Coturnix japonica: one gene and its partners. The protein of the gene in region 3 purifies or fractionates together with the protein of the main gene of each other region. This does not show direct contact. Links are inferred from orthologs where the notes say so. Each region holds a gene or a part of one and is shown on either strand. Other genes may lie near its edges.

The links.
Region 1: the proteins of RSRP1 (region 3) and CPSF6 purify together in Homo sapiens (affinity purification with mass spectrometry; 3 studies listed by BioGRID and IntAct, with this or other methods). This does not show direct contact. The link is inferred for Coturnix japonica from reciprocal best matches to the Homo sapiens genes RSRP1 and CPSF6.
Region 2: the proteins of RSRP1 (region 3) and C1QBP purify together in Homo sapiens (affinity purification with mass spectrometry; 3 studies listed by BioGRID and IntAct, counting the BioPlex papers as one, with this or other methods). This does not show direct contact. The link is inferred for Coturnix japonica from reciprocal best matches to the Homo sapiens genes RSRP1 and C1QBP.
Region 4: the proteins of RSRP1 (region 3) and PSME3 purify together in Homo sapiens (affinity purification with mass spectrometry; 3 studies listed by BioGRID and IntAct, counting the BioPlex papers as one, with this or other methods). This does not show direct contact. The link is inferred for Coturnix japonica from reciprocal best matches to the Homo sapiens genes RSRP1 and PSME3.

The regions. Positions count from the first base shown.
Region 1 is NC_029516.1:32,112,842-32,119,729, reverse strand, and holds part of CPSF6 (cleavage and polyadenylation specificity factor subunit 6), read right to left. Parts: intron 6,442-6,888; coding exon 6,338-6,441; intron 5,412-6,337; coding exon 5,266-5,411; intron 4,750-5,265; coding exon 4,576-4,749; intron 4,210-4,575; coding exon 3,705-4,209; intron 2,472-3,704; coding exon 2,379-2,471; intron 1,421-2,378; coding exon 1,305-1,420; intron 988-1,304; coding exon 834-987; intron 1-833. UniProt on the Homo sapiens protein: Component of the cleavage factor Im (CFIm) complex that functions as an activator of the pre-mRNA 3'-end cleavage and polyadenylation processing required for the maturation of pre-mRNA into functional mRNAs.
Region 2 is NC_029534.1:2,451,930-2,459,229, reverse strand, and holds C1QBP (complement component 1 Q subcomponent-binding protein, mitochondrial), read right to left. Parts: upstream 3,607-7,300; 5' UTR 3,559-3,606; coding exon 3,348-3,558; intron 3,258-3,347; coding exon 3,107-3,257; intron 3,026-3,106; coding exon 2,935-3,025; intron 2,735-2,934; coding exon 2,639-2,734; intron 2,400-2,638; coding exon 2,277-2,399; intron 2,068-2,276; coding exon 1,918-2,067; 3' UTR 1,656-1,917; downstream 1-1,655. Other genes in the region: RPAIN (RPA-interacting protein), read left to right, coding at 64-178, 314-377, 455-589, 808-837; ATP-dependent RNA helicase DHX33, read right to left, coding at 4,222-4,530, 5,208-5,294, 5,948-6,151, 6,678-6,805, 7,199-7,287.
Region 3 is NC_029538.1:2,151,230-2,158,718, forward strand, and holds the start of RSRP1 (arginine/serine-rich protein 1), read left to right. Parts: upstream 1-3,514; 5' UTR 3,515-3,664; coding exon 3,665-3,753; intron 3,754-3,898; coding exon 3,899-3,954; intron 3,955-5,044; coding exon 5,045-5,668; intron 5,669-5,984; coding exon 5,985-6,139; intron 6,140-7,037; exon of another isoform or gene 7,038-7,448; coding exon 7,449-7,489. Other genes in the region: TMEM50A (transmembrane protein 50A), read right to left, coding at 562-654, 850-917, 1,715-1,827, 3,079-3,171.
Region 4 is NC_029542.1:4,665,433-4,672,776, reverse strand, and holds the end of PSME3 (proteasome activator complex subunit 3), read right to left. Parts: intron 7,041-7,344; coding exon 6,936-7,040; intron 6,635-6,935; coding exon 6,586-6,634; intron 5,965-6,585; coding exon 5,852-5,964; intron 5,670-5,851; coding exon 5,601-5,669; intron 5,152-5,600; coding exon 5,084-5,151; intron 4,940-5,083; coding exon 4,885-4,939; intron 4,622-4,884; coding exon 4,535-4,621; intron 4,028-4,534; coding exon 3,947-4,027; 3' UTR 2,272-3,946; downstream 1-2,271. UniProt on the Homo sapiens protein: Subunit of the 11S REG-gamma (also called PA28-gamma) proteasome regulator, a doughnut-shaped homoheptamer which associates with the proteasome. 11S REG-gamma activates the trypsin-like catalytic subunit of the proteasome but inhibits the chymotrypsin-like and postglutamyl-preferring (PGPH) subunits.

The DNA of each region.
Region 1 (6,888 bases), on a different chromosome or scaffold from region 3:
ACATGGAAGATGGCTGGGGTGGTGGCTAAGAACAGCTAACAGATATTAAGATGCCACCTACTTTCAAACCAGGGAGAAGTCAGAAATTACACATTCAGAATGGAAGACAGCTAAGATCAGCTGGACAATGTACTGTGCCTCAAATGATCCCTACAACATGGCTGCTCATTGGCTTTCTGAAAGTGTGGGCCAAGGTTAGCTACCTGTGTTTTTATTACTCAGCATCAGCTACTCTACTCCTACAATATCCAAATAAATCAGAAGTTAGAGGTTCAGTGGCTGTTGCAACTCTGAAAGGGCTGTAAATAATCAGTAAGTAGAAGACTGTGCATTTTAAACCTATTCTCAGTTTTTTGACTGCATGAGAAGGAATAAGAGGAAAAATCATTCCGGCCATCCTCTTTCCCTTGCCAAGTGTGACAGGTGAGGAGAAAGTTACTATGAAGCAAAATGAAACTGATAATAAATAACCTCTGACTTAATTTTCAATAGAAAATAGTGATTAAAATTATATGTTGTATATAGTATACCAGACATATGACATCTGAATTGATGAAGATAATTCAATTCTGAAGTTCATTTTTTTGCAATACTACCATATAGAAAAGAACACAAACTACAATAAGTTAAAAAGCTAGCTGGATCCACTTTAAAAACAAGAGTCAATTAACAGATTATTTAGACTCAAAAGTTATATTTGTTTCTCTCACAAACTTCTTGTGCAGCTGAGCAAATCACTAAGGTTCTCACATGACTTAGCTCCTCCTCTGTACACTTGTCTTGCCCCACACCTTCCCTTTCACAGAAGGGCAAATGGAAGAGGAAAGTTTTACCTGGATCCAGAACCATAGGACTTGGATTCGATTCCATGAAGGCAGTCTTGAAGAGAGCTAATAAGTACTTTACAACGATCATCAGCAGATACTTTGGACTGTTTAATTAAGGAAATTGCAGTTACCAGGGTCTCTATAGCACTTCCATAGTCCCCTGAAAACAATATAAAATCACGAGAAAATTATGCCAATTAATACAAAGGTTTTTATCTGTAATAATAATACAATTCGGAATGCTTTCTTTCAATAGCCTCCCAAATCATTTACTAGAGGACTAAACATTATAACACTGCCCAGATCAGTACTCAGAAGGCATTCCCAAACGTCAGCTGGGTTACAGTACAAAAAGAGTCATAGGTCGTACCTAAATTCAGCATTCTAGAAGGAAGTGGCATGAAGGCTGCAGGTTTCCTAACACAATAACTAGAAACTCTTTTTGCTTAGGCAGAATAGAAAGCAAGTTTTACTAACCAGCACTGGCATCTGATACAGCTCTTGAAATGGCACTGCTCGAGATTGCCCTATTTCTGTTCATGATTTCTTCAAATTCTGCTTCACTTAGAGGTGTCCTTGCAGCATCCATCTCTCTGTAAGCAAGAAAAATTAGTATTTACAAGGTTAAGAAAACCTTAACAGAATATCATTGCAATTTTAACAATCCAAGTTTGCAACTTTAAGCAAAATGACAAACAGAAAAGAAAGCAGGATCTGGGTTTGTGTTAAGGACCATGTTACAGTATAAAATCCTGAAAGCTTGAAAATAATAAGTTAAAAAAAAAATTATCACATCTGCTAAATGAGTAGTTTTTCTTGTTCTACCAATCTAGTTTGAAGATTCAGCAGCACTTAAACCGTGCTTTACAAATATTTAACATTTTCATAAAATCCTTCAAGGTATCTAAGCAGACATTACACCAGCTGAATGGATGCAGAGATACACATACACGGGTAATGCAACTTTCAGCAAAATTAGAAATCTCCTTAAGACAGTCTTGGAAATAGAACTATATGATCCTGTTTCCCAGATTCTTAACTAAGACCAGAGGGCTGTAATTTTTAAAAAGCAAATAAAGTCTGTCATCATTAAAACACTCAATTTTCTGAATGACACCAACATTTTACAGTTAATTCTAGGTTTTGTTTCTGGTCAAGTTCAAGGTGCACCAATTTCATCTCCCAATCACAGTAAGGAGGAAGCAATTAAAATGAATACTTGCACTCACTATACTTTTTAACTCTGACTATTAGCTATCCTATACATTGATTCTAAAGTAACAAAATTTACTCATACAAAAAATTACCCACAAGTTTTGCAGTGTTTTATTAGCCAGTCTCTGAATCATATAGAATATCTGAAGAAATGCATTAGAGACAAAAGCTGAGACTGTCAAATTGACCCACTGCTTGATATTTCTAAAACAGTGTTAGTTCCTCTGGTAGAAAGAAAACGCAGAATAACAAGCAATACTATCCTCTTAAGTGCAAGAAGTGGAACAAGATCCTATAGCCAGTTTAGCATAAGAGGAAATGTCTAAAAATTCATACCTCCCTGAGTTTTGAGTATTATTTTTCGTGTGCCTCCCATAGAATGGAATATGTAATTTTTCTCTTATGGACATGTTATTTCCAGTGAAACGCCTATGATATATAATTAATGACAATTTAAATAGTTATGGATGATAGTCTTAACATTTTTATTGAAAATAGTGGACAGAAGTTATTCTGTCCTATCCCCATTCCTTCCCTCCCCAGCCATTCTGTAAACTGCAGACAACTTAGATTTTGTCCATCAAAAAACACAAAGCACCTTATTATATCTCAGGCAATTAAGCCAAATGCTTGAATTTCTACAACTTCTATAGGAACACAGTATGTACAATTGTTGGGGTTTTTTTCAACTTTGTGCTCACATGTAAAAGGAAGAATCAAAGTGCCTTTGCAGGAAACACTTTAGGCAAGAGAAGACTCTCTCAACAATATCAGTAAAATCACAAATGAAAAATTCACACGTAACTGCGTAGAAGGTATCTCTCTTAAAATTAGACCCCAAAAGTTCTAAGGAATGGTGAAAGTATGTTGAAAATGAAGACAACAGCGGCATGACAGATGCTTGAAAGCACAAATGCAAAAGCTGTTTCAAACAAGATGTGAAACGCTTCACTAGTCAAGTCAGAGGGACTCAAAAACCCCGACCCAGACTGGATTAACTACAGAAAAGGCCACTGCTACAAACACAGAAAGACTGTACAAAATTACAAGTAGCTTAACAGGAAAGCAAAACAAAAGTCTTGCAATAAATTCCCACTCAGCTTTTGAGACAAAAGCTAACTTTTAATTGAACCCTTAAGAAAAAAGGAACAAGCCGAACTGCTAGAAGATGAAAATGACATGAGCTTGGTGTGGCACCATCCTCAACACATGCACATATTCAAAGAGAACACCAGAGCATTTTACAATGACAGCTTGCAAAGCAAGATGGCAAAGGGACAAGTGAGAATTTCAAGTTATGACAGCAGCACAACCAGAAGCTACTGGCAGGAAGTGATATAAGTTAGCATGTAGAACACACAGAATGATGATACTGTGAACAATGTACACAAACAGTTCAAAGCCGAAAAGGGAAAGCAAGATTACTAGCAATGCATTTTAAGGTTTTCTTACTGCTACAAACACACTTATGAGTTCATTCACTAAGAAGCGAACGGGCAAATCTCATGATTGCAGGGATCCCCTCCAGCTTTGCTGTTTTGTTTTGCTTTTTCCCCCTTGTTTACTTTTTCTAACATTTGCATTAAAAAGTTTTTAAAAAATCCTGTGTTTCCTACAAGGAATAAAGTCTGCCATACGGCATATAACACCAAAAATACTCACCTTCCAGGTGGCCCATAGTCACCTCTGTCATATGGTGGAGGTCGGCCATATGGATCTGTTGGAGGTGGGCCACGGCTGTCTGAAGTAGGTATGCCACTATTGGCAGGTGGGGGGAAGAAAGCTGGGTTCACATGTGGTGCAGGAGGTGGAGCACCTGGAGGTGGCCCGGGGAGATGTGGAGGAGGAGCGAGAGTCAGGGGTGGCCCGAGAGGGCCGGGTGGACGAGGGGGAAATGGACCCGGAGGTGGAGGTGGACCCTGCTGAGGTGGTGGCGGACCCGGTGGCGGCCCATAGCCTGGAACTGGAGGTGGAGGGCCTGGAGGAAGTGGCCCAAGAGGAGGCTGACCAAAAGGCTGTCCTGGAAACAGAACTGGTGGTGGTGGGCGGTCACCACGATTAGGAGGTCCAGCTAAAGGAGGTGGGAGGACCTGACCAGGAGGTGGGGGGCCTGGTGGGCCTGGTGGACCAGGAGGGCCTAAGGGTGGACGTGGGGGAGTTTGTCCAGCTACAAAAAAATAAATAAATAAAAAGTTAATAAACATGAAGAAATAAAAGAGTCACAAAAATAATTAAGATCTTGTCCTTTTTTTTTTTTTTTTTTCCTCAGACAAAAAGCCTTCACTGAACAATTCACATCTTGCACAACACATGCAGAGCTCCACTTTTGGGTCCAGTATCTTAGATATATTTATAACTGGTTATCTATACTGAAAGAGAACATTAACCTGAAAACAGAACCAACCACTTCAAGTTTTTGGTAATTCTATGTGCCTGCTTACTGACCTTAATTTTTGTAATTCCCAAATAAGCATACTGCATTAATAAAAGAAAATAAAAATTAAACTGAAACCCTCCACATTCAGTATTTTACCTGGGAACGGTGGTGGTGGCCCTCCTGGCCCTGCTGGTCCAGGGAATCTGTCTCCACCTGGAATGGCACCTGGGAAACGGCCTCGCCCTCTATTACTAGGTGGAAATGCTGCTCTTGAGCTTCCTCCTGGAGGACCAGCTTTACCTTCCCCAGACATCTGGCCAGACTGTGTGGCTGCAGTGGAAAAATGTCATTATGTAAATCAAAATAGTTTAAAGCTTTTCAATTCTTCTAAAGTTTTATGTAGCACTAAAGCATCACCTTGATCCCCAGTACCACAAAGGAAAAAACACTTTGCTAAGATTCAGCAGCATTTCAGTATCCCCACACCACAAGAATGGAAGTGTAGAAACTCAGTCCATTAAGTTAGTCTAATCTGCCTACAAATGCTGCACCTCTACTTCTCCAATCTTAAGAAGAGTCTTACAAAGCTGCATAATAAGCACTTCCAGCAATTTCTCCTATTAAAACCACAGACATAAAAACACATTGAATTAACTGTTTTGTTTTCAGTTTTTAAGGGGATCTTCTACTTAATTTTTTTAAAACAAAGCTGCAACTTCATTCACTTAATACTTATATAGAAATCTTTAACTGTGCAGAAATTATCAGATACTGAGAGAAGAACTGCAGGACAACTTCCGGAATAAACTTCCAATCTTTCCAAGATGGCACAAGAGAGAGACTTACTTTTCCTTGACTGCATTTCAAACTGACTCAGAAATTGTTTATTACAAGGAGTCACAACAGGATTCTGCCCATGCAGTTCTCTTTTAGGCAACAAATCCATCAACTTTTTGGAGGATGCTTCCGATCCCACACCCACAAGGGCAAACCTGAAAGGAAGAAAAAAAAACAGTTACACTGCAGTTTTTTTGTTTCCTGGATATCCTGATGCCTCATGAATAAACACTTAACACAGTGAGCAAAAGAATGCTTGAAAAGAAAATACAGAATCTTCCACAAATCTTAGAGATCTTTTCTTTTAGAGATAGATAAAGTAATTCACTCTAGGACACAGATGAAAAACCACAATGTAAGTCCAAGATGCAGCAGTGTAACAAAGGTAGCTTTCTGACACAGCATCAATATGCTATCTATTGATTATTATAACCAAGTTGTTATTAAGAATTCAATGTGTTCTCGTGGCTACTCTCATTAGTAATGATGAGAGATGAAGACAAAATTATGTTAGGAAGATTAGACTGTCAGCAAGGAACCAGCTCAAGTGCTTGCTTTCAGCAGTTAATGGAAAAACAAGCATTTAAAATCATTCAATAACAGGGATAGGATAGGAAAAATTTATATTATGAACAACATACATCACCACAACACTAACTGAAACTTAGGAATAGAGTCTTCACATATATCACAGAATCATAGAATGGCCTGGGTTGAAAAAGACCACAATGATCAACTCATTTCAACCCCCTGCTATGTGCAGGGTCCCAGACCAGGCTGCCCAGAGCCACATCCAGCCTGGCCTTGAATGCCTCCAGGGATGGGGCATCCACAGCCTCCTTCAACAACCTGTTCCAGTGTAAATGCCAATAAAATTTAACTCATTAAGAAGTATGAAGTAATATTCCCATAAAATTTATGCCTGGAATTTAATTAGCATGAATTAATATACCCAATCATTGTTGGATATTGATAAACAGAGGCCATAAGTTCACATACTGACAGAATAATTGGAACTCTTTCCCCACTTAGACCCTCCTAAACTTCAGTCGACTTACAGAAAAAGCAGAAGAGATCTTACCCTTTAGATTGGCCATTAGCACGGTTTTCAAAAAACTTTATCTCCAAAATATCATTTACCCCTAATGAATGAACCGCTTCAGTTAAGTCTTCATCTGTCGTCCACTGAAAAATATAATATTCAACTATGAAATCTTACCTAAAACGACAGCACTTTTCCACGCTCTTACTTCGAGGTATAAGTGGTGAAGAGGAATGCTTTATACAAGTTGTTGGTATTTTCTGACTCTCAGAGGACCTTCACCTACACTATACAATGCCCAGAAAACTCATTTTTTTAAGTACTCACTTCCTCACAGGCCATGCTGTCCAGGCCCCACAGCTCCACACAGTAAACCAGCTCATGGGTACTGAAAAAATTCCTGAGTAACTTTCTGAAAGCGCTTTTCCCAAGAGTATTAAGCCTAAACTGAACTATTGAAATAACTGCCACATTTTTTTACATCCTTTTTTTCCCCTCCCATTGATTCTATTTCCAAACCAAAAATCCATTTTAAGACCACATTAGCACATATGCTCACTCCAACAGCTTTAACTAGTGAGAGCCTAGTA
Region 2 (7,300 bases), on a different chromosome or scaffold from region 3:
TGTCTGTTTTGTTGCTGTTCTGTTTTGGTTTTTGTTGGTCTTTTTTTGCCCCCCCGCCCCCAGAACAATTGGTTATAGAAGAGTACGAGCGAAGTCTGCGGTTTGATGAAGAATGCCTCAATGCAATCCTCGATGGCTTGGATGCCAGCAACAGAATCATCTGCCCAGTGTGCAGAAAGTAAGAATGAGATCCTCCACACTGCAGCAGTTTGGGTTTAGAACTGGGCAAAACAGCAAACAAAGAGAGTGGATTTCAAGCAGCTGGAAGAGCAGAGCTCTCGTTGTCAGGGCTCTCACTGTGTGTCTTTCCTAGGAACCATCTGACTGTGAGGAGCCACTCAGTTTTCTGCCAGTGTGGGTTGGATGTCCCTGCCCAGGTGAGCTGTGAGCGATACATGGTGAGGTCGATCTTATGAGTAAGATTTCTTCTTAACCCCCTTATTTTTCCCTCCAGGATATGACAGAAGAGAAGCTTCGGTCACTCCTAGAGAACACTATAACAGAGCACAGTCACAGGTGCCTTCACAATCCAGAGTTCACATTTACCAATGGGATGGAGGAGGAGGCCAGTCTGCTCATGACCTGTCCAGTGAGTCAGATTCCTGCTTGAATCCACCCCTGTTACATGGACAGAAGCCACAATTCCACCAATCCCATGGGTTTACATTCCTGTCTCTCCCTCACACCCTTTTGGAAGTGGTTTAATTTTGACCACCAGTATTGAAACAGCTGAATTTCACTGTACTATTATCTATCTTTTATGCGTTACTACAACTTGTCAGCTCAACTTAAGGTTTCCTTTTTAAGGTCTGTGACTTCTGGATGATTCTCCTCTAAGTTGCTTCAGCTGCTGCTTTTTTCTTCAGTGACTTTGAGACTAGAACTCAACCCAGAGCTGCTACTGTCTTCTAATGTCCATACACTTATGTGTCCTGTGTCATACATACTCCAAGGCAACGCTACTGCCTTACCCTGCACTTTTGATGGCACAGTCCATGTTTTTATAATAAATACTTCATCCTTCATATCATCTTCAACAACGTGTCAGTGATTTCACAGCTTGCTTTGGACTTCGTGTTTAACTTCAGGTCCATGACAGTGTTTTTAATGTATCCTTCTGTTCTAAAAGCAGGTTCCTCCTTACAATCTTACCCACTACACTCAGGACTATTAAGTATTGCCCTGGAATCAACAGGGAGGTTGATCAATAGTCACAAAGTATTCTGCCTCTTCTCGTTGTTCTGTCCTTGGCTGCCTTCAAGCTGAAATAAGAGGCAGCTCTTTAATGCATGGCTGCATGGTGCGGGAGCATCTCCTGCTCTGCCACTGGGGCTGACTCAGACCTTGAGGCATCACCTGGACGCAGCAGGTTGAGTAGAAGCCCAAATCTGCTGCTCTGCAATGCTGCTGATGTTCAGCATCCACAGGACTTGAATTACTGCAAGGAAAGAGCTCCAACTTGTCTGCAGTATTTTTCTAGAGCAGATGCGTTGATACTAACAGGTACAGATGGACTAGATTGGGCTAGAATAGCCCTGGAGAAAAACTGGCCTAACACTGCCCAGCTCTGCAGGCAGCTGCATTAACTTCTCAGGTCAGGGAACACACAGATATCCCTTATGGCAACTGATCAACATGAAGAAAAAAACAACTACTTTTCAGGGAGTTTTGAACACATTTTATTATTCACCTTCATTCCTAATGGTACAAAATGCAGCAGGGGGAGGCAGGTCCAGACAGTCCTGTTTGAGAACCTGAGCTGGGCTGCAACGTAGCATAAATACAAGTGAGGCCCCTCACTGTCCCGTGATGCTCAATTCCCAATTCAGTTACTCCATCTCTGTTGTGAAGATACGTTGTGGTTCTGCTGGTGGAGCACTGCTGTGTAATGCCCACACTGAACGCTGCTTTCCTTCCCTACTGACATTTAACAAAGCTTTTAAGGTCTTCAAGGAATTTAATGTACTCCTGATGCTCCAGCGCAGTGCTGAGCTCAATTAACTCATCAGCAAACGTGTTATCCACTCCTCGGTCAGCCAGGAAATCCATTAAGTGATCATACAGAGCCTGCAACAAGGAACAGAAAACAGCCTTAGCAGAGCACAGCTTCAAATCCTACTTAACTACTGCAATACAATTAGGCTTGTGGGCTCCCCCCTTGTTCCTCATAGAGCTGGTGCTCCTGCTTGGTGCCAATAGCTGCCATATCACCTCCAACAGGGTGAGCAAATGATTCATGATGGAATAGGAGTACAATGTAAATCAGCAGCACTTACCCAGTCGAGGGAATCCGTATTGAGGGTGTAGTTGGTGTCCTTCCAATCTGATTCCCCGGTGGGCTGGAAGCTGACCTCCCTAATGGTGAAGATGTCACTTTCTTCCTCTCCCTCGTGGCCAACCTGAAATAGGAAATGAGGCACAGGATGTATTAGCTGTAATTAGAGGGAACCATCAGCTGCTTCATCCTGCAGGTGGGAACACAACCCCCTTAATGCCACACATTGAGCTGATCAGAAGGTCAGGACATGAGCAGAAAGAAACCCATCCCATCAGTTTCCTTACAGAGATAAAACCTGTGTGAGGAGAAAAGAAGGAGGCAGCATTTTGTGCAGACACAGGAACCCAGAGCACAGCTCACCTCATCCTCGGGGTAATGGCAGTCAAGCACGAGGGTCTGCTTTGTATCATCCTTAATGACTTCCACAACAAAGTTTGGAGTCGATGTGATATCGGGCTGAAGGAGAGAAGCAGCCGATCAGTGCTGAGGGCTGAGCAGGAGCCAGCACAGCCACGAGGTGCCCGCAGTGCTCAGCAGGGGGTGGGATGGTCCATGGGGGTCTCCCAGGGCCGTCCTGCTCTGTGTGTTCCCACTCCCAAAATCAGACTGAGCACACGGCGGCCCTTTGTGGTCCCCTGGCTCTGTGCTGTGCTCACCTCCTCCTGCTCCTCGTGTTTCTGCTCCTCCGGCGCGTCCTCATCCACAGCGGGCGGGATGCTGTTGTTGATGTTGAAGGTAACCGTGATCCTGCACAAAGGACACGAGTTAAACCATCACAGCCGGGAAGGCCCCGCTCGCATCGCTCCCGTTCGTTATTTCATTGCTCACTTTTCCCCGGCGACTTTGCGCACCAGCCTCGCCTCGGTGCCGTGCACCTCCAGCTCCCACCCGCCCGACACTTTGGGCAGCGCTTTGTGCTTCTGGATCTTCCGCTCCTCCTGGATCTCATCCGTCAGGAACTGAGCGAACGCTTTGTCCCCTGCGGGGAGAGAGAAACCGCTCAGCACCGGCACCACCCCCCGCATCCACCCCCACCTCCATCACCACGTGCGGCTCCGTCCCGACTCACCCTCCGTGTGCAGCCCGCCGCAGCCGCAGGACACGCCGCCCGCAGTTCCCCGGCGCGGTCTGAGCAGCGCCGCCCTCCAGCCAACAACAACATCGCTCCGCTGCCACAGGGAACGAGCCGGGAGCGGCTGCGGGACGGACCAGAGCGAGCGGAGCGGGGACAGAGCGGGGCGGAACGAGGCGGCGGAACGAAGGGCTCGAGCGAGCAGCATGGCGAGAAACGGGACGAGGAGGAGGAGAATGACCCGGACGGGATCGGGGCGCTTCCGGAGCTCCGCCCCCGGTAATAAGGGGAGGGAACGAGATACAACGCGGAGTGACCTTGGGGGAGAGACCAGAAGGTTCCAAAGGAGGAGCCGGGCGGGGGGAGCCGCGCTGAGCAGCGCTCCGAGCGGACAGATGAGGCACCTCCATTCTGACAGTGAAACAGCACTTTGATTTTGCTCCTTGTATGTAGAAATTTATTTATTTGTCTTTATTTTCCATCGGTAAAACCTGCCCGGAACACAAACTGAACCATCAACAAATAGAGAGTTTGCTGCAGGAGCTGCTGGGCTCGTTTCCTTCCAGCCCCATCCATTACAGCTCAATGTTAAACACCAGCACAAAGCAGGTCCCGTTTTACACAGCAGCTCTTAACACCACGATGGTTCAAAGCCACAGGTTGCCATGAGTGCTGCCTCTCACAGAGAAGCCATTTTCCTCCCAGTTTTACACCTGTTTGCGATGCAAAACCCCGCTGTCCCTGCACAGATCACAGCCCAGCCCTGCACTGAGCCCTGCACTGAGCCCTGCATTGAGCCCTGCACCGAGCCCTGCATTGAGCCCTGCACTGAGCCCTGCACTGAGCCCTGTATTGAGCCCTGCAGCCCCACTCAGTTCTTGGCTGCTCTGAGTTTCCTGCGGAAATAGTCAGGTGCTGCATCATACAACCAGTCCGCGTCCACCACGCACAGGTCCCGCATGTAGCACTTGTTGGTGTGCAGCAGCCCGTTGTAAACCACGCAGCAGGGTTTGCAGTGGAACAGCACGGACGAGGGGTGGATGGCCACGGGCTGGTGGGAGCTGACGGTGCTGTAGGTGCCGTCCGGCTGCAGCTCGGCCGCGTTCATGAAGAGGCTGTGAGCCAAACAGCGGCGGATGTTGGAGGTGTCGGAGCGGGACGACTCCATGGGCAGCGATAACTGCAGGGACACAGACACGAGGCAGCAGGTCACAGCGTGCAGCACAGACACGGGCATCCCAACACATCTAACACTGCGAGCACAGCTGAGCCAGGAAGCACAGAGCACTTCCCTGCACTCCCTTTGACAGCCTCAATCCATAAGACAGGGACCATAAGCCCTACAGCACTGAAGCACTGCCCCAGCTCCACTTGCAGGCTCTAAGAATCCCTCCTGCTTGTGTGAAGGCAGAGACGGGCTGTGCCTGGGTTGGATCCATGCCCTGCAGGGAAACCCGGCACACTCCTAAAGCTCCAATGGCACTGAGCCCATCCTACACACCCTCCATCATCAGGGGCCTGGATGAGCTGGAGGCCACAGCAGCAGGTGTCTGCATCTCTGCATCACTGCAATGCAACACAACACTCACTGCCATTTGTTATTTGTTCCAATTGTATCAACCTGCGCTTGTCTGAAGGTGGGCAGCTGTTCCCACAGTGTTCTCATGCTGAAGAACAAGTGTGTGCACACCAGTGGGGGAACAGCCCCCTGCAATGGGCTGCTGAGAGCAGGCAAGGTTATGTCCTAAATGCAGCTGGCCTGGATAACACATTTTCTTGCTCCTTGATTTCTTGCAAAGGAAATAAATGAGGGGAGAAACAGAAGAAATAGAGAAATGCAGTACGACAACTCATTACCTTTACACAAATGTCCCTGAGCTGAGCTCTCACGTCTGACACGAGCATCATGTTCCTGCCGTTGACAAAGTTCTCCTTGCACCATTCCTGCAGCACAGATACCAGCAGTTACAAGGGGCTGCTCCTTCAGGAAGCACAGCTGGATGCCAGGCAAAGGAGCATCCTCCAAACACACTCTGCTACCCCTCATTACTCCCCCTCTCCTCCCTCCCACCAACAAACCACCTGCTGTTCTCCTCCCACTCTGAGCTGCTCTGAAGGTCACTGCCAGCTGCACAACAGTCCTTGATGTCCCACAGGTGGCAAAAGCAAGTTACATGAGAGGAACAAATGTTGCAGAGAATGGGATACGCTACTCTATAAATCAACTGAAGGAATCCATAGAGAAGCATAAGTAAAGTCTGGTTTTAAACATGCTCCTGAATGGGACACGTGCAGATATTTAGCATCAAGTCCCAGCACCCTCTCACTGCTGCATTTCCAGCTGCAGCCAGGCAGGGAAGAGACGTGGCTCTGATTCCAGAGCTGGTCTCACACAACTTTGGTGACTGGGTCTGCCAGCACCTTCTGGGGAAACCTCTGGCACTGCAACAGCTTTCTCTGTTACCCCTCTGTAAAGCAGGAGCAAGATCTCTGTTCTCACAGGTGCTTTGGTAGGATGCAGGATGCACCAACTGCAAAGGATGCAGCCGCCCCTGCTGTGAGTCAGAAGGATTCCTGGAATCCTCAGAGCATCCCACCTTGTTGCCACTGACGTTTTTGAAGGCTCTGTACACATTGAGCAGGGTGAGGTGATCCCCCTCACTGGAGATAAATTTCTTCCTGACAGATTGCACTTCATCCCGCCGGGCTGGGGGGTTGTAAAGGACACTGTCCACTGAGAGCAGCGATACAATGGTCAGAATCTCTTCTGTGCAATGGAACTTTGGGGACAGGAGGATGGTCTGTAAAGAAGAAAATGGATTTCTGGTTGAGCAAATACAGTCCAGGGGGGAAGGGCTCCCTGTGCAACTTCACCAGGTGCTGATTAAGTCAATTTCATACACATTTGGGCTTAAGGACAACTGTAAGTCCTCCTATAGAACTACTGAGCACCTTTAAGAGGATTCACTTCAGATACAACACAAATATGGTGCCCAAACTCCATTCCTGTATCAAATACATCCCAAAACTGTCAAATCGTGCTACAGACAGTCCCAGAAATGGCAGGAGAATCAACCTGGTTTCAGCTTCAGATGTGCCAGAGGAAATAAAGCAACTTTTAAACATCCCCTTTAAATGAACAAATGATGGGCAAACCAGCACAGCTGCTGTAAAGAAAGCTGTGCTTCATTAATGTGCTGCAATATAGTGGTACAACTGCAGTCACCCCGAATTCTAGACCTTGTTTTAGGAGCTTGAAAGAAAAATGTGAAAGGTGCTGGGAAAAGCAGGTGAAGTAAAAGCCGATAATTGTTCTGCAGCTCTTACTTTAGAGAACTTTGGTTCCAGTGGGAAGGCCGCCATCTTCCTTCCCAGGGGAGTCAGGACAAGCTGATCTTCCTTTTGCTCCACAGCCCCCAGCAGGTCCAGCTGCTCAATGGCTGCTTGAATAGCATCTGTCAAAACAAGAAGGTTTGGGCTGTGACATGAACACTCCTGCCAGCACCAACTGGAGGGACCAGCAGCAAACATCACTGCTCTTTCCTCAGACCAGAGGGACAATACTTTCAGTCTATCAGTTCAGAGAAATGAATGCCCCAAGCAATGATGTATCCCACTTTGTCCAGCAGAACAATCATCTTTTCCAATTTACACAGCAATAAAACATGCAAAACTAAAGCTGCTATCTCTTGCTTTGAGCAGAAGTCGTGTGAGATTCTCTATGGCTTTCCCTGGCACAGTTCTATGATCAAAAGGTGCTCACTGCTCTGTTTGGAAGCTGAGCTCTCCATCTTTCTGCTGTAACCATTATTTGTAAGCAATTCCATACGGAATAAGTTAGCACTTACCAGGAGATGGTTTGGACATGAAGTCAAAGGTGAGTATGTTGGGAATCCTCAGGGCCAAGAGCTGAAGCAGCACACTGGCCAAGTTACACCTGCATAGGCAGA
Region 3 (7,489 bases):
GAGTTAAGAGAGCACTGTGCACCTTTTGCATCTGTTTCATGCTCTGACAAGGTGGTTCCCTCCCATCTGTTACCCCCAGTGCAAAGTAATTTCAATGGCTTTCATACCTCCCCCCCCCTTCCCCAGTTATTCAGCTTTCCAAATAACTGAATAATCAAAGATGTGCATTCAGATCTAACACTCATGAATCATAACACTCACTATGACGTGGGATTACACATCCCCTTTGGATTGCACTTGTGTAACCTGATACATGTACATGTGCACATTCACTATGATGGCAAGCTGCAGAATGGAGCACTAGCATGAAATTAATGTGCCCAGGTGTCTCTGAAACCCCCCTGTGAACTGTGTAATGCCAAAACTAAAGAGAACATCAATTAAAACCCAACCAGTTTCTACTGAGGCTAACAGGACAGTCTGTGCCCTACAAAACAGACTGACAAGAGCTTAAATGACAGCAATGGGGTGTTAAAATCCTCCATACGTTAGAAGAAAGAAAAGAATAACGGATAGGGAAGAATTAGAAAGGGTCAGGCCATGCTTCATGCTGTATCTTACCTTTAACGACGTATCCTCCAAAAAGAATCCACATTGAAGCAATCAGTGAACCAAACATCAGCATAAAGCCAATGAAGAGCCAGATCCGAGCACCTTAAAAAGAAGACGTGGGTGTTCTATGCCCATTCCTGTGTACAGATACCAGTAACTTTCAAGATGCTTCAGTTCCAGAGCACTTTATGTGACCCACTTGAGCCATGCACATAAATCAGTGCATGCACTGGTGCAGCTGTTATAGCTCGTCCAAGGGTGACTGACTGCAGGTATTTGTGTGTGCACAGCACTCACCTGTTTGTCCCAGGCAGCCTTCGCTGTAACTGTCACCCCTCACTTGTCCATTAGAAACTGCGTTGATCCTGAACGTGCAAAACAGGATGAAAAAGGGTAAAGATTAATAAAGCAAGAAGGAAAATGTTTATAGAACAGTAAGGGAAATTCCTTAGGAACAAATTGAGACATAATGCATTTCTTACGTGTATTTTATTTTTTCAAAATGGGAAACATGCTAAAACTTAAACACGTTGCTCTGCTTTTCTTCCACTTTTAATGCTTTGATTTATATGCTACTCCATTTTCAATGGCTCCTTACCACAGGCAAATGTAAGGCACATGATCCTAGGCTGCATCACACAAAGCATGACCAGCAGCTCAAGGGAGGCGGTTCTCCCCCTCTGCTCTGCTCTCATGAGACCACAGTGCAGTGCAGCATTCAGCTCTGGGACCCCCACCATAAGAAGGGAAGAAGGTTTCAGTGTAGGAACAGGACAAAAGGTTTTAGGACAGAATAGGACAGAATGGTTTGAAGCTAAAAGGAGAGATTTGGATGAGATAATTAGGAAGAAATGTTATCACTTAGAGGGCAATGAGGCCATGGCACCCAGAGCTGTGGCTGCACAGTGCCAGTATCCAAGGCAAAACTGCATGGGGCCCTAAGCAGCCTGGTCAGAGCATCCCAGCTTATGGTGTGGGGGGGTTGGACTTGGTGATGATTAAAATCCCTTTAACCCAAACCATTTTGTGATATTAGCAACACTCAGACCCTGATTTGTTATTTTCACTTATCTCCCAATTTAAAGCCTACGTTATTTATTTTAATTCTGAATTTCACAGAAGTTCCAGGTGTGCACAGCTCTGATCAGGACATTACACTTACATTAGGAATGCAATGGTGGCTATAACCCCACAGGCATGATACGAATGGTTGAAGTCTTCCATGGTAGGGTACTTCACAGCTGCATCTATGATTATCCACCAACCTGTAAAAAACTATTAAAAGCAAAAGTACAATAGTTTAAAACACAGATAGAAAAGGTTTGACCAAACAAACCCAAACAAACAGCACAGCTGCCTCTACCATCAGCTTAGTCAGGTACATGCTAAACACAAACCCCATGATTTAGCTGCTCCAAGAATTGTAGGGGCTGGAAGGGACATCTAAGAGCCCTTTATCATCTCTGTGAACCTCTGATGGACTCTCTCCAGTAGATCCCTGCCTTTTTTTGTATTGGGGAGCCCAGAACTGGATACAGTACTGAAGGAGAGAGGGGTAGGATCACCTCCCTTGCCCTGCTGGCCACTCTTTTTAATGCACCCCAAGATGCCATTGGCCTTCTTGGCCACCAGGGCACACTGCTGGCTTATGGCCCACCAGGTCCTTCATTACAGAGCTCCTCCCCAGCAGGTCAACCACCAACCTGTATGGATGCATGTAGTTATTCCATTGCCCCCCAGGTGCAATAGTCATCACTTGCTCTTGTTAAACACCTCTCTGCCCAGCTCTTCAGCTTGTCCAAGTCTTACTGAAAGGCAGCACAGCCTTCAGGTGTGTCAGCCACCCCTCCCAGCTTAACATCATCAGCACTATCCCTTTAATAAAGTGAAACTGTTGAACAGGACCAGCCCCAGCACTGCCCCCTGCGAACACCAATACACTGAGCTCTGTCAGTCACATCCACCCCACACTCCCTATGGCTGCAGTGGGGTGGGCAGCACCAATTGCCTTCTGTGGGTGCTGTATAGAGCAGGGGGGGGGGATGCACAGAGCATAGAGGGGCTGGGGGGGGGGGGGGGGGGGAGGTCTATCTGTTCCTATAATGGCTTCATGGAGCCTCCTTTGAGCCCGTTTCCTCACACACCAGCGCTCCGGCTGCACAGAGCACAGAGGGGCTGGAGGTGTGGGGGTCTATCTGTCCCTATAATAGCTTAATGGAGCCTCCTTTGATCCTGTTTCCTCACACACCCGTTTCCTGCACAGAGCATAGAGGGGCTGGATGGGGATCTATCTGTCCCCATAACAGCTTAATGGAGCCTCCTTTGATCCCATTTCCTCACACACCAGCACTCTGGCTGCACAGAGGGGCTGGGTGGGTGTCTATCTGTCTCCATAACAGCTTAATGGAGCCTCCTTTGACGCCGTTTCCTCACACACCAGCACAGAGCACAGAGGGGCTGGGTGGGGGTCTATCTGTCCCTATAATGGCGAAATAGAGCCTCCTTATACCCCGTTTCCTCACACACCAGCACTCCAGCGGCCACAGACGCGATGGTGTTCCGCTTCTCCCCCCAGTCCACACACTCGGAACACCTCAGGCCCTCCAGGAAACCGGACATCTTTCAACGCTCTGAAGAAGGCGAGAAAACAAAATAAAACGAATCAAATCGCCACAACCGCGTTTCTCACACAGTAAATAACCCACCACAGCAATTATCGCTCTAAAAAGCCGCATTATATTGTCCTCACACAGAACACGGCCCGACCCGCCGCTCACCTCACGGCTCCACCGACGCGCTCAGTGCGCATGCGCAGCACGCAACAGCAGCTCCCCGCCTCCAGCGCGCAGGCGCGTAGAGGGCGGCGAATGGGTTCTTCTGCGCATGCGCTGTAGTACGGAAAGGGAGGGGGGAGTAGGGTGAGTGCAGGCAGTGCGCATGTGCACAAAGCCCGCGCATGCGCAGTCCGCTCCGTTACGTAAGCGGGGAGTGACGTTCTGGAAGGTTCGCGGCCGCTCTCAGTCCGCGCTCTGCTCGCGGTGGGGTCGGTTGTGTCCGCTCGTTGCTCCGGCGGTTCGGATCGCGGCGCGTTGTCTGGGCCCGGCCGTTCGTTATGGGTGTAACACACGAAGCCGGGTTGTCCCCTCGGGCGTCACCGTCGGAGCAGGATCCGTGTGGGGGGGGAGCGGCTGCGTGCAGCGGGTGAGGAGGAGCGGGGGGAGCGGTGCGGCCTAGGGCTGAGGGGGGAGATGGGCCGGGTGGGAGGTGGGGTGTATTGTATTGTATTGTTGGCTGTGGGCTGGTGCTGTGCTATGGCAGCACCTCATTTACCGCTGTGTTATTGCAGGAGCGCCATAGGGACCCATGGGAGTCAACAACGGGGATGTCCGGCGGCCCCCAGCGGTAAGCGGCCTCACCAGAAGCCCCCCTGGCCTCCGAGCTGGATGTGGGGGGGTGGAAGGGGTATATCTGGCCTCTGAGCTGTATGGAGGTGGGTGGGAGGGGTATATCTGACCTCTGAGCTGTATGTGGGGGGGTGGGAGGGGTATATCGGGTGTTCCCATGGGCTGTGCAGTGCCTGTGACCTTGGGTCTCTGCTTGGAGGTGATGGGTGGAACTTCCTGCAGCTGTTTGAGGAGCTTAATCAGCTCTTAGAGCTGGCTCGGTAGCTCTTATTGATAGTAAGCAGTGAGTCTGAGCTCAGTGGTTCAGCAGACAAGCCTTGAGAAGCAGAGTGTTAACACAGTACTTATAATATAGGACCACTGGGCAGAGAAGCTGTTTTGATGTGTTCCCTTAACGAATTTTACCCTATGATCCCGGATCTGTGTCTTATACTACACATGTAAGATTCTACTGGTGTAGTTTAGTGGCATAATTTAGTTGTGATCATTGGCCTATTATAAAGCTGTGGATGTAAAGCATGATGTCTATTCTGACCTTGAAAGTAGATGTTTGTTTTGCCCCTCCTGGTGCAGTAGTCTGCGCTTAAAACAGATGGGAACTTGAGTACCTTGAAAGCTTTGTTTGGGGTAAGGAAATAGCAGTAAATTTCATCTTCACAAAAGTTGTGTGAGGGGCATTAAAGCCAATGCAAACCTTTCAAAACTAGTGGCTTACACTAACGCATTCTTAAACTTTCATATAGAACCATAGAATGACCAAGGTTGGAAGAGACCTCTAAGATCATCCAGTCCAGCCGTCCTACCACCAGTATTTCCTCACTAAACAACGTTCTTCAGCACAAGATCTAAACATTTCTTCACCACTTCCTGAGCAGCCTGTCCCAGAGGTCTGACCACAGGACAGGAAATGATGCTGCTCATAATTGTCAGGCATAAAACATGCTCATAATTGTCAGGAAAGATTGTCAGCGTTGAATTGTCCTTGAACTTCTTGTTTGTGTGTTGTGCCATAATAATTGATGGTGTGTATGTCAATTGCTGTCTGTAAATGATTCGTGTCTTCATTTGCTTCTGTCTTCTTTACCCAGGAACAGAGACTGGATACTGCAGAACAACAAGCAAAACAGAACTGGGCTCTGAAAGTACCTGCAAGGAAGAAGTAGTGGCTCGTAAGAGCAGTGATATGGCAAACTGCATGGATGATTTGAGTCTGAATTCACCAAAGAAAAGAGAGAATTGTTTGAGATCCAAAAGAAGCTGCAGCAGGTCATCATCAAGGTCATCCAGTCGATCTTCCTGCAGCTCCCAGTCCAGTTCGAGTACGTCATCTTCAGCTTCCTCCAGGAGCTGGAGTCGGTCCAGATCCAGGTCTAGGGATCGAAGATACAGTTCCCGAAGGTACAGAAGATGCTCCCGTTCCTATTCAAGAAGCCGCTCAAGATCGCGTGGCTACAGGAGGTACAGAGGAAGGTACCACTCCAGGCACTACAGGAGGTACCACCGCTCTCCTCCGAGGTACAGATCACGCAGTAGGTCGTGGTCCCGTGGAAGATCATATTACAGAAGGTCCTATTCAAGAAGCAGGTCACGTTCCAGAGGCCGAAGAAACTATGGGTTTGGGCGGACAGTGTACCCTGAGACTTACAGGAGCTGGAGGAGCAGGTCACGAACCAGGTCTCGGAGTAGGTCACCTCTGCACTTGAGTGAGAAAGGTACTTGGACTTTGGGTGTGAGCATTGGAAACGGGTCTTTTATTGACTAGATAAATTGTAGTTACTTTATAGAGCCTATCTGATAAAAGGAGGTTGCAAAGAATCTTGCTACATCTATAAAAATATATTAAGAAGGGGGGTATAAACAGCAGTTGAGAGCATATCTTTGTATTTCAACTGAAGCTGTATCTCTCAAGTTGAGATGAAAATCCATCAGAGTTAATGTTTCAGTGCAGATGTGGTTTGGCTGCAGTTCTTAGGGTTGTATTGGAAGGATACGTATCTCATGTTAAAAATCAATTATGTCTTCTTTTAGAAAAGAGGGAGCTTCTGGAAATTGCAAAGGCTAATGCTGCAAAAGCTCTGGGAACAGACAATATAGTCTTGCCTGCTAGCTTGAAGATCCGCACTGCTTCTAAGGAGACCAGCAGTATTAAGAAAGAACATGAAGACTCTGGGGAGTCGGATGAGGTAAGTACGAACTGGAGTGTTGGGAATGAAAAGGTCAGCACATAAAGACTTGTGGTGTGCATGGATGTGCCACGATTCTTTTTTCCTTATTGAGGAGTTTGTTAATTAAAAGTTGAAACTCCTGAACAGAGAACTGAGGTTGACCAGAATGCTAAAAAGTGCTTTAGAAACCACTGTAGACTTTGCTTTTCACTGCAAGTACACTGGATTCTGAAGGGCAGTGGATTCAGGGCCGGGCTGGATGGGGTCCCAGTGGCAACCAGCCTGTGGCTGGGGTTGGAGCTGGATGATCTTTAAGGTCCCTTCCAACCCAAGCTGTGCTGTGGCTCTGCTGCATGCAGGCTTTCCTTGGTGTTACAACATTAGGAAGGGGAGAGAATTGTAGTTCTTGCAGCTTCTCAATGGTAGCATTGTATTGCTCATTACAGAAACTATTTTTTTCTTGATCTAAAACAAGGAGACTCCTTAGCAAACCTGTTATTTTTTTTCTTGTTAAGGTTAATTTTACTACCTTTTCTAACAGTTAAAAGCTTTTCATATGTAATATACTATTTCCCAGAAGTTACATACCCGAACACACAATGCATTTTACATGCTTTATTTCTGTCTTATAGAAATCATGACTATGGTTCCAGACATGATGAAGAAAATCTGTTGGTAATTAAGGGTCTTGTGGGCTGTAGCTACTGTGAATTTAAGGGAGGGAGAAACTTCAGCATCTTAAACTGAGCTGTAGTTTGGCTGTGTTAATGCTTTGTTAATCTGATTGATAGTAAATGCAAAACTGCAGTAACTTTACATCTATCCAATGCTGCTATTTCAAATGGAAGTAAATTTGCTAAAGGTTTTAGACAAATGGTACAGGCATCCCTTTCATAATATATGCAATATATTCCAGATGTTGAGAGAGTACAGAAGAAGAGGCCTGCATCACTTGCAGATAAGTTTATTGTTGTTATCCAAAGCTCTGCAGGATTAACGTGCAGAACTTCATGCGACTTATTCTGACACTACATTTCATTGTATGGCATTCCATGCTTTGAATCATTTGAATACTCTTTAAAACTGTAAGTGGGGCATGGATATCAGGTCATAGCAGGTCCTTGAATCGGCACAAGGACCTTGATTAAAAATACTGGTTTTCACATTGAACTCAATGCTGATCTATTGGCACATTTGGTAGCTTCTGGCTACTTTTGTTGTAAATATCTGAAACAACTGTACTGGGAAGTTATTAACTTGTAAAGGCTGCCTTAACCTACAGAGGGTGTTGTATCCTCCCACTGAAGTGCTGTGTGCTTTTCTCTAGCAACCCAAAGGACTGACAGAAGTCATAACCAAAAGTGGAAT
Region 4 (7,344 bases), on a different chromosome or scaffold from region 3:
ATATAGAATGCAACAAAAGAAGCCCCAATTGTAATGATGTCCCCGTGATGAACAAATTCACATTTGGGTCTGCAGAGTAAACCTGTGCTGCCTCTGTCCTGCAACAGGATACATGCCATGGATGTCATGTTCAATATCATGTTACTTAACGATACCCATTTCTGCTGTACTTTTCAAGCTGAAGACTTTTACAGTTTGTAACAAGAATCTGCCTGTACTTTCTGGGAGCTCCGTTCCAGAACAAATACAAGGACTAAATCCATTGCTATCCTGCAGCAGACATTTCAGGAAGCAGAGCAATTATTTGAACCTGAAGAGATGAGAAACCAATGTCAACATGCAAGTGATAATACATGTTCAGGGATCCTTAAGGATAACATGTACCACAGGAACAGCGTCTTCTCCAAAAGGACCCTGAAGCAACTTAAAGCCAGCCCAGAATTTTGAAGATGACGCATCTCACTAATAGCAGCATGACTTGTTCATGAGCTGCTCGGTACACAAAACTCTGCCCACAACATTTCCCCAGTCTGATTAGCCCATGACTCTTCCATACCTATCATGGAGAATTCACATCATACCAGCTTATTTTGGCTTACACGGATGCTTTTAAGCACTGCTTGTCAGTGCAACATGTCAAGGAAAGTGCCAGTATCTCCCAAACAAAACACAGTGGCTGGGAGTTTGCTGTGCTTTGCTCACATAGAAAGGTAGAGCTGGCAAAAATAGTCCCTGGAATTTATAGAAACCAAAGCACAGACAGGCCGTCTTTTGTGTCAGTGACTGCCAAGCAGCTGGTAAAGAGTATAAACATGCAAACACACAATAAAAATTCTTGCCAGCCTTTCTGACATGGGTACACCTCAAGCAGACCCCAACCTGAACTTCAAACTCTAGAAAACTCCCACTCTCCCAACGTGCACATTCAGCTTGTGTAAAACAGACTGCTGGAAATTGCTTGACACTTACTCATGCTGGCTGCGTTTCTGGCAAGTGTTTTTGTCTGAACACAACTGCTGTGCTCTTCTTCTTCCAAAGTTCTAACCTCCTCTGCAAACACAAGCAGGGGTGTCCCAAGAAGCTGTGAATTAGAGCCCTGATAGCTGACACTTCTCTGGGAAAGCAGAGCAGAAACCACCATGCCAAAGGGTGAGGATCACAGACAATAAACCCTCCCCTGCTCCTGTGCATGAAACATGCTCCTCACCAACACCTGTCAGCACAGCAGTCCTGGACGCTCCATCCTTCCACAGGACTGTTGTGTAGGGCTGCTGGGGGCTCCCTTTCTCCTGGCCATATCAAGGTAGACCCCTTCTGCCATACAGCACTGAGCAGTGCCAACAGCAGACTTTCCAGCAATAGCTCCAGCCTCCTCAGCCCCAGGGACCTGTGCTGTCATTTCCTTACCCATCTTCACCAAGAGGTGTGGGCACCATCAGTATTTTCCCACTCCACAGGAAGCACCTCGCAGCCAATGGCCCAGCAGGAGGCAGAATGCAGCTGAGCAGCAGCTGCCGCTTGTGCTTCTTCTTGGTGGCTGAAGACTTTTGAGGACAGGTTGGCCAGGTCTCACCCGGCCTCCCAGCACTTCTCAGGCTGGATCACAGCCCCCACCTAGTGGCAACCAAGCTGTAAGAGACACAGCCTCCCTGTCACAGAGCAGAACAGGCTGGACACCAGCAGCTCCCAGACAGGGTGCTGGGGAATGAATGGCACTTGGCTGAACACCGCTGAGCAGGTCCCTGCAGCCCAGGCTGCATGCCACATGTGCTGAGGAACAGGAATGAGAACAAAAGCACGCCTCTGGGTAACGCTGAGGATGCTTTAGCCCATGTCCCCTTTGTACTGCATGCACAGTAACATCAAGAGAGTAATGGACCATGCACTGAATACACGTGTCAGGTACAACATTCAGATGCATGTCCTATGACACTGCACACATCTGCTCTGCACAGATGCAAGAGCAGCCGTGGAGTGGGTTGCAGCTCTTAGAACACCATCATGCAAATCAGTTGTACCTGAGTGAGCCAAGATGGCCTGAGTACAACACAAAAGGCAAGAACAGGGCAGATCTCATCAAATTCAAGCCCTTGTGCTTAATATAAAGTATGCTGAAGGAACAGAAACAATCTACAAAGCAGCACACACATAGCAGTATCAAGTCAAAAAGAATGAGGAGAACGAATGGAAGGAACCACTGGATGTGTGAAATGCACGACCGAGAACAGACACCAACACTGCAGAGCTCAGTATCACAGACAAGGGGCTGTCTTAAAAGAATTCAAAGTACCTTATTTTAATTTCTTGACATGGTAAAAGTTTACATACTTTCATCTGGCAAGGAGAGCTCAACAAATTAAAATAAATCAATACAAAGAAACACAAGGGGGAGTGCTGCTCCAGGACAGCAGCTACAACGCAGTTGGTTTGTTACAGAATATTTATTAGCGGGAAGACTAAGAGTTGACTTACTACAAACAACAACAGAAGAGTCTACAGCAAGGGCTGGTGGCCCTCCACACTCTGGGGAAATCCCTAGGAAACCAGCAAGAGACAACATGGCTCTTAGAGGTGGAAGCAGAAAAAAAATAGTTTTAAAAAAAAAAAAAAAGGAGAGAAATTTCATTCCATTTGTCACTGTTGTTACAATGAAGTTAACACAACTATTAAGGCTACTGCACAATAAGAATATATGGGTGTAACAACAAGACCTGGGAAACAGTGAGGTTCCAGAAATAAATGATTTAACATTCCCTGAATATGGGACTTAAGTAGAAATATTATAAATAAAAAATTTGGAGCCTGCAGCATTATGGGATCACTTCCCACACACAAAAACTGACGCAACACAACCAATCATTTCCAAAGGGGTTTGTAATGGACCATGAAATGTTCCAGCAGCTTAGAGGAGTCAATAGGCACACAAGGGTGCTCTTTTGCAGGGGAAAGAATACAAGGTTTGCAACGGTACCAGGTAGGAATTGGCCATCCTCACCCCAAGCACTATTGTCACAGCTGGCCTGCTGCGCCTGGACAGCAGGAAGCACTGCCAGGAGAAAGCAGGTTGCAGTCTGACCACACATGGAAGCTATCAGGAGTTTAGCATCACACCTCTGGCTCCTCCTTTCTCAGCCTGGGCAAAAGCAGCTCATACCAAGGAGGCATGAAGACTCCCATGAAGTTGGTTTTAACCAAGAAAGTGGCTCTAGTCAATTTGCAGACTGGAGCAGAAGCCATATGCGCTCACAACCAGCCAGTACAGCAATCAGCCCTAGTGACAAGCACAACCTTCAGCTCTGCATTGACCCGCTCAGAACCAAGGCAGAGACAGATGGGCCACGCTCTACTGAGTCAAAAAAGCCACAAAACGATTACAGGCCTCTCAGTGGCACTGCAACGTGGCTGTGGCCACCAACCCAGAAGGGGCAGGATCCTCTGTCTTTGCAAATAAGTCAGTGCAGAGCATAGGCAGAGGGGCTCAGCTGCAGCCAGCAGTGAAGAGAGCTGGCTTTCAGCCACTGCACCACCATCCAGGCTTAGTCTTGAGCTGAAGATGGTCTGCCCCATTCACAGAGACCACAGAGAAGTCTCCAGCCAAGAGATGGGACAAGACAAGGGCCTGATCTCTACTGTAGCTCCTACTCAGGTAGGAAGAAAGGCATGAAGGAATGTTCCTGCCTGGCTGGCGCTCTGCTCTCACTCTGCAGTAGCCTCTAGGGCATCCCAAAGCAGCAAGGCCTTTTTCTTTACCAGATATACTAGAGGGAGGGAGAGCTCCTGAGACCTGAATAAAACCAATCACAAAACTAGGTGATAATTTCTTTAGATTTTAACTAAGAATGCAAAACTATTTCCAGCCAGTTTCCCATCTCGATAGTCATGTAACAAACCAAGGCAATGACGGTCTTTAGTTGACTGAACAGTTCTCAAGTTCAAACGTTGACACTTAATAAAGGGTCTCAGCATTGCTGCTCCGAGGCCTCTTGATCTTCTCAATGTTTTTAAGGATCATGTCATGCAAAGTGACCTGCAAAAAGGGAGAACACAACTCAGAAATGAAGGGGGGATGTCACTTAGCATTCAGGTTTCACAACCACTGACTTGAACAGTTTCACAGCTCATCCTGGTACTACTTTCAACCCCTGCCTGCAATCACATTTCTGCTTAAAATAAGTGCTTTCTTCCGCAACACTTTAGAGAAGCTAATGTGTGCAATACAAAAAAGAGAAGACATCAAAAGAATGGTCTGTACTGCCTGAAGAATTTAGGATTGCAGCAGCGCTCCTAGAGCAGTGTACTGAATATTTTGCACTCAGCTCCCATGAATACTCAAGTTGGAAACATCCACATCTCTGGGAGATGGTGGGGAGCCAATAAACACTTAGCTCTTGTTAGAGCCAAAGCAGACTGGGGAAAAGATAGGCTTCTCTCCAGGACTAGCTGTAATCATAGGGAAAGAGGAGAGCAGTAGAAGGATCAAAAGGACTCTTTCTATTATGTGGGGAGCCAGTGAGAGCTCTGTTTTTTCACTTACATATTGATTCCTCAGCTCTGAAATGATCAGGCGCAGACTAATATACTCCTTCTCATCAATCTCTGTCACTGTGCGCCGGTAGTCCTCCTGCAGAAAACAGATGCATGGCTAAGAGGCCTGAGCTCAGGTGTGCTTGATACATGGTATCAACTGAAGGTCCTACCTTTTACAAAGGAATCCCCCCTTTCAGTTTCCTCTTCTCTAATGAAGATATTCTGCATATTCTTATATAGCCCCCCCTTTTCCCACAGGGCCCCTAGCTCAAAATTAAGACAGTGATGAAGTAGCCTGAAGAGTCCCAGAAAGCAACAGCATGTAAACTGTAAAGCACCACTTCCCCATTTACTTACCACATGAGGGTATTTAGCTATTTTGGAAACCAACTTGGCTCTTGTGATATAATATCTGTTAGGAAAATGGAGACTACAAATCAGACAAACAGTACCAAGATTCTTCCAGGCACAATCTGCCCCAGCAAAGCTGGAGGACCTTCCCCAAAAGGTTCCTTTTCCCAGCAGCACTCCCAGAAAGGGCTCTGTTCCTTCATACCTAGAAATCTGGTCCAGATAGGATGCTGCCTCACTCTCCACAGTTCGAAGTTCAGCAACTGTTTCCTCCTGCAAAGGAAGCCTTTTCATGATACTGAAACTGCCCATCGCCGCTCTAGAAGTACCAGGTCGTAGCAGTTCCATGTCAAGCTTAGATTTGGATCTTAAAACCTAAACCAACTCCACCACTGCAGACATTGGATACCATCAAATGATTTGGAAGAAACCTAAAGGTACATGCTCTTGGGGGCATAGTTCCCTGCCACAGTAGGGCATACAGCCTGTCAGTGGTTTACAGGCTGGTTCAGCCCGGTTCCGTAACTAGCAGGGCAGCAGTACACACAGACCCACACCCTGGGAAAGGGAAAAGGGAAAAAAGGGGAGAAGGGTAGAGAGATGGGCCTTAAAAGAAAACAGCAACAGTCTGATGAGAAACAAACTAATTTACTACATCAGATATCAAAATGCAAGATAACACACTATAATACAAGACCACAACATAGCCAACAATATCTTACCTGAATAGAAACACCAAAGTTGTTTCCATCTTCTATCCTGGGAATTAGAAGTTGCACCCACATTTTGACCTGCAATAGAAAGATCACTATATAGATCACTGTCAAGATTTTTACAGGATTCATACCACTGTCATTTATAAAATACAGAGGAACCTGCTCCTTTTCTCAGAGAACCTTCACACAAGCAAAGGAGCAAAAGTATTCTAGTGCCCCCATCTGCTCCAGAACTCAGGGCTGTGGCCCACACCCACCGTATTACACTTCTCGATAAGCAGCCTGATCTCTGGTTTCACTTTCTCAATGATGTCCACCAGCTGCTGGTTGCTCTTCAGCATCCCATTGGGCATCACAAATACTTTGGTACCTACAGTGGCAAAGAAGACAAATACATCAGCCCCACGTGGGAACAGGTACACCAGAAGATCAGACCAAATGTCCACCTGAGCATTATGTCTCCTACAAAGGCTAGCAGTGGACACTGAGCCAGGATACAGCTAACCTGTGAGGAAGGGGGAAATTGGGCATGGGATAGCCATGATTGCCACAGAGGAAAGAAGACAGAAAATACAGAGCTTAGATGAGAACTGGAGAGCTCCAGCCTGCTGAGCCTAGGTACAAGGATTTTCCTGACACACGTGTAAGAAATGATTCTGCCTCAGCTTAATCCAAAGCTTGAGGTCTTCCTCCAGATGTAAAAAGCTTTTAGAACTGATCCACAGGGAGGCCAGCTGCTCCTGTCAGCAGGCTAAGCCTAAGCAACTACTACTTATGTCGATCAGAGAAATCCAAATCCTGCTACTTCCAAGAGCTGGAACCTGACTCCTCCACAAGAGAATATCTGTAGGTCAGGCTCTGAGGCTGCAGGGACAGGTCTGCGTAAGCAGCAGATGCTGTCAGGACAGGGCAAGCGGGACTGAAGTCAACTCATTCTCTTAAGGCACGGTTCAAGGGGCAGGCAGCAACAAAGAGACTCGGGGACTCTTACCCTGAAAGGTCTCTTCACGGTCTTCCAGCTTCCTCTTTTTCATATTTGGCTAAAATATACAAAATGTTTTACTCACAAACTAGTCGCAAGCTATAAAACTGTTGCAGAGGAAGTAAGGATAACATCAGAGCCTCTGCTACTCTCCTGGTTTCTAACCATCCGTCTTTAAAAACAAAGGACCACTGTGAAGGACAGCATTACCCTCCAGCAGACTTCCCAAGATCGGGAGACCAATTCCTGAAAGCCTTTGGGAGGCTGTTGTTAACTAAGAATATCCTAATCCAACACAGAACAGGCCATGCAGTTTTAATTACCAGAAGCAGAGAGCTCGACCAAGAGAGTAAACTTACCCCATCCAGTCCATCATGGCTGTTTGTGAGAAGAATTGGGTCAGGCACTGGGAGGTTCATGTCTGAATGGATCTGAGTGAGATCATGAATATTCAGGATGGGCTCCTGGAAAATAATGCATACATGTGATTTAATTATGAAATAACAACTTCTGTCACAGCAAGCACAACAAGACGACAAAAGTTTTACATCTCCTCCTCATTCAACCACAAAAAAAAAATGAATACAAAAAAATATTCAGCAATAACAGGACTGTAGCAAGACCGCCCTCTGCCTGAGCACAGAGTACCAGCTCTAGATTATGATCAAAGCTATTGTCTGTCTGCAGTGCTGGGCACGCTGGAGTCCCATAGCATCAAGGACAGCCCAAAGCTACTGAATATGTAAGAATAGCAAATGTGTCGATCAC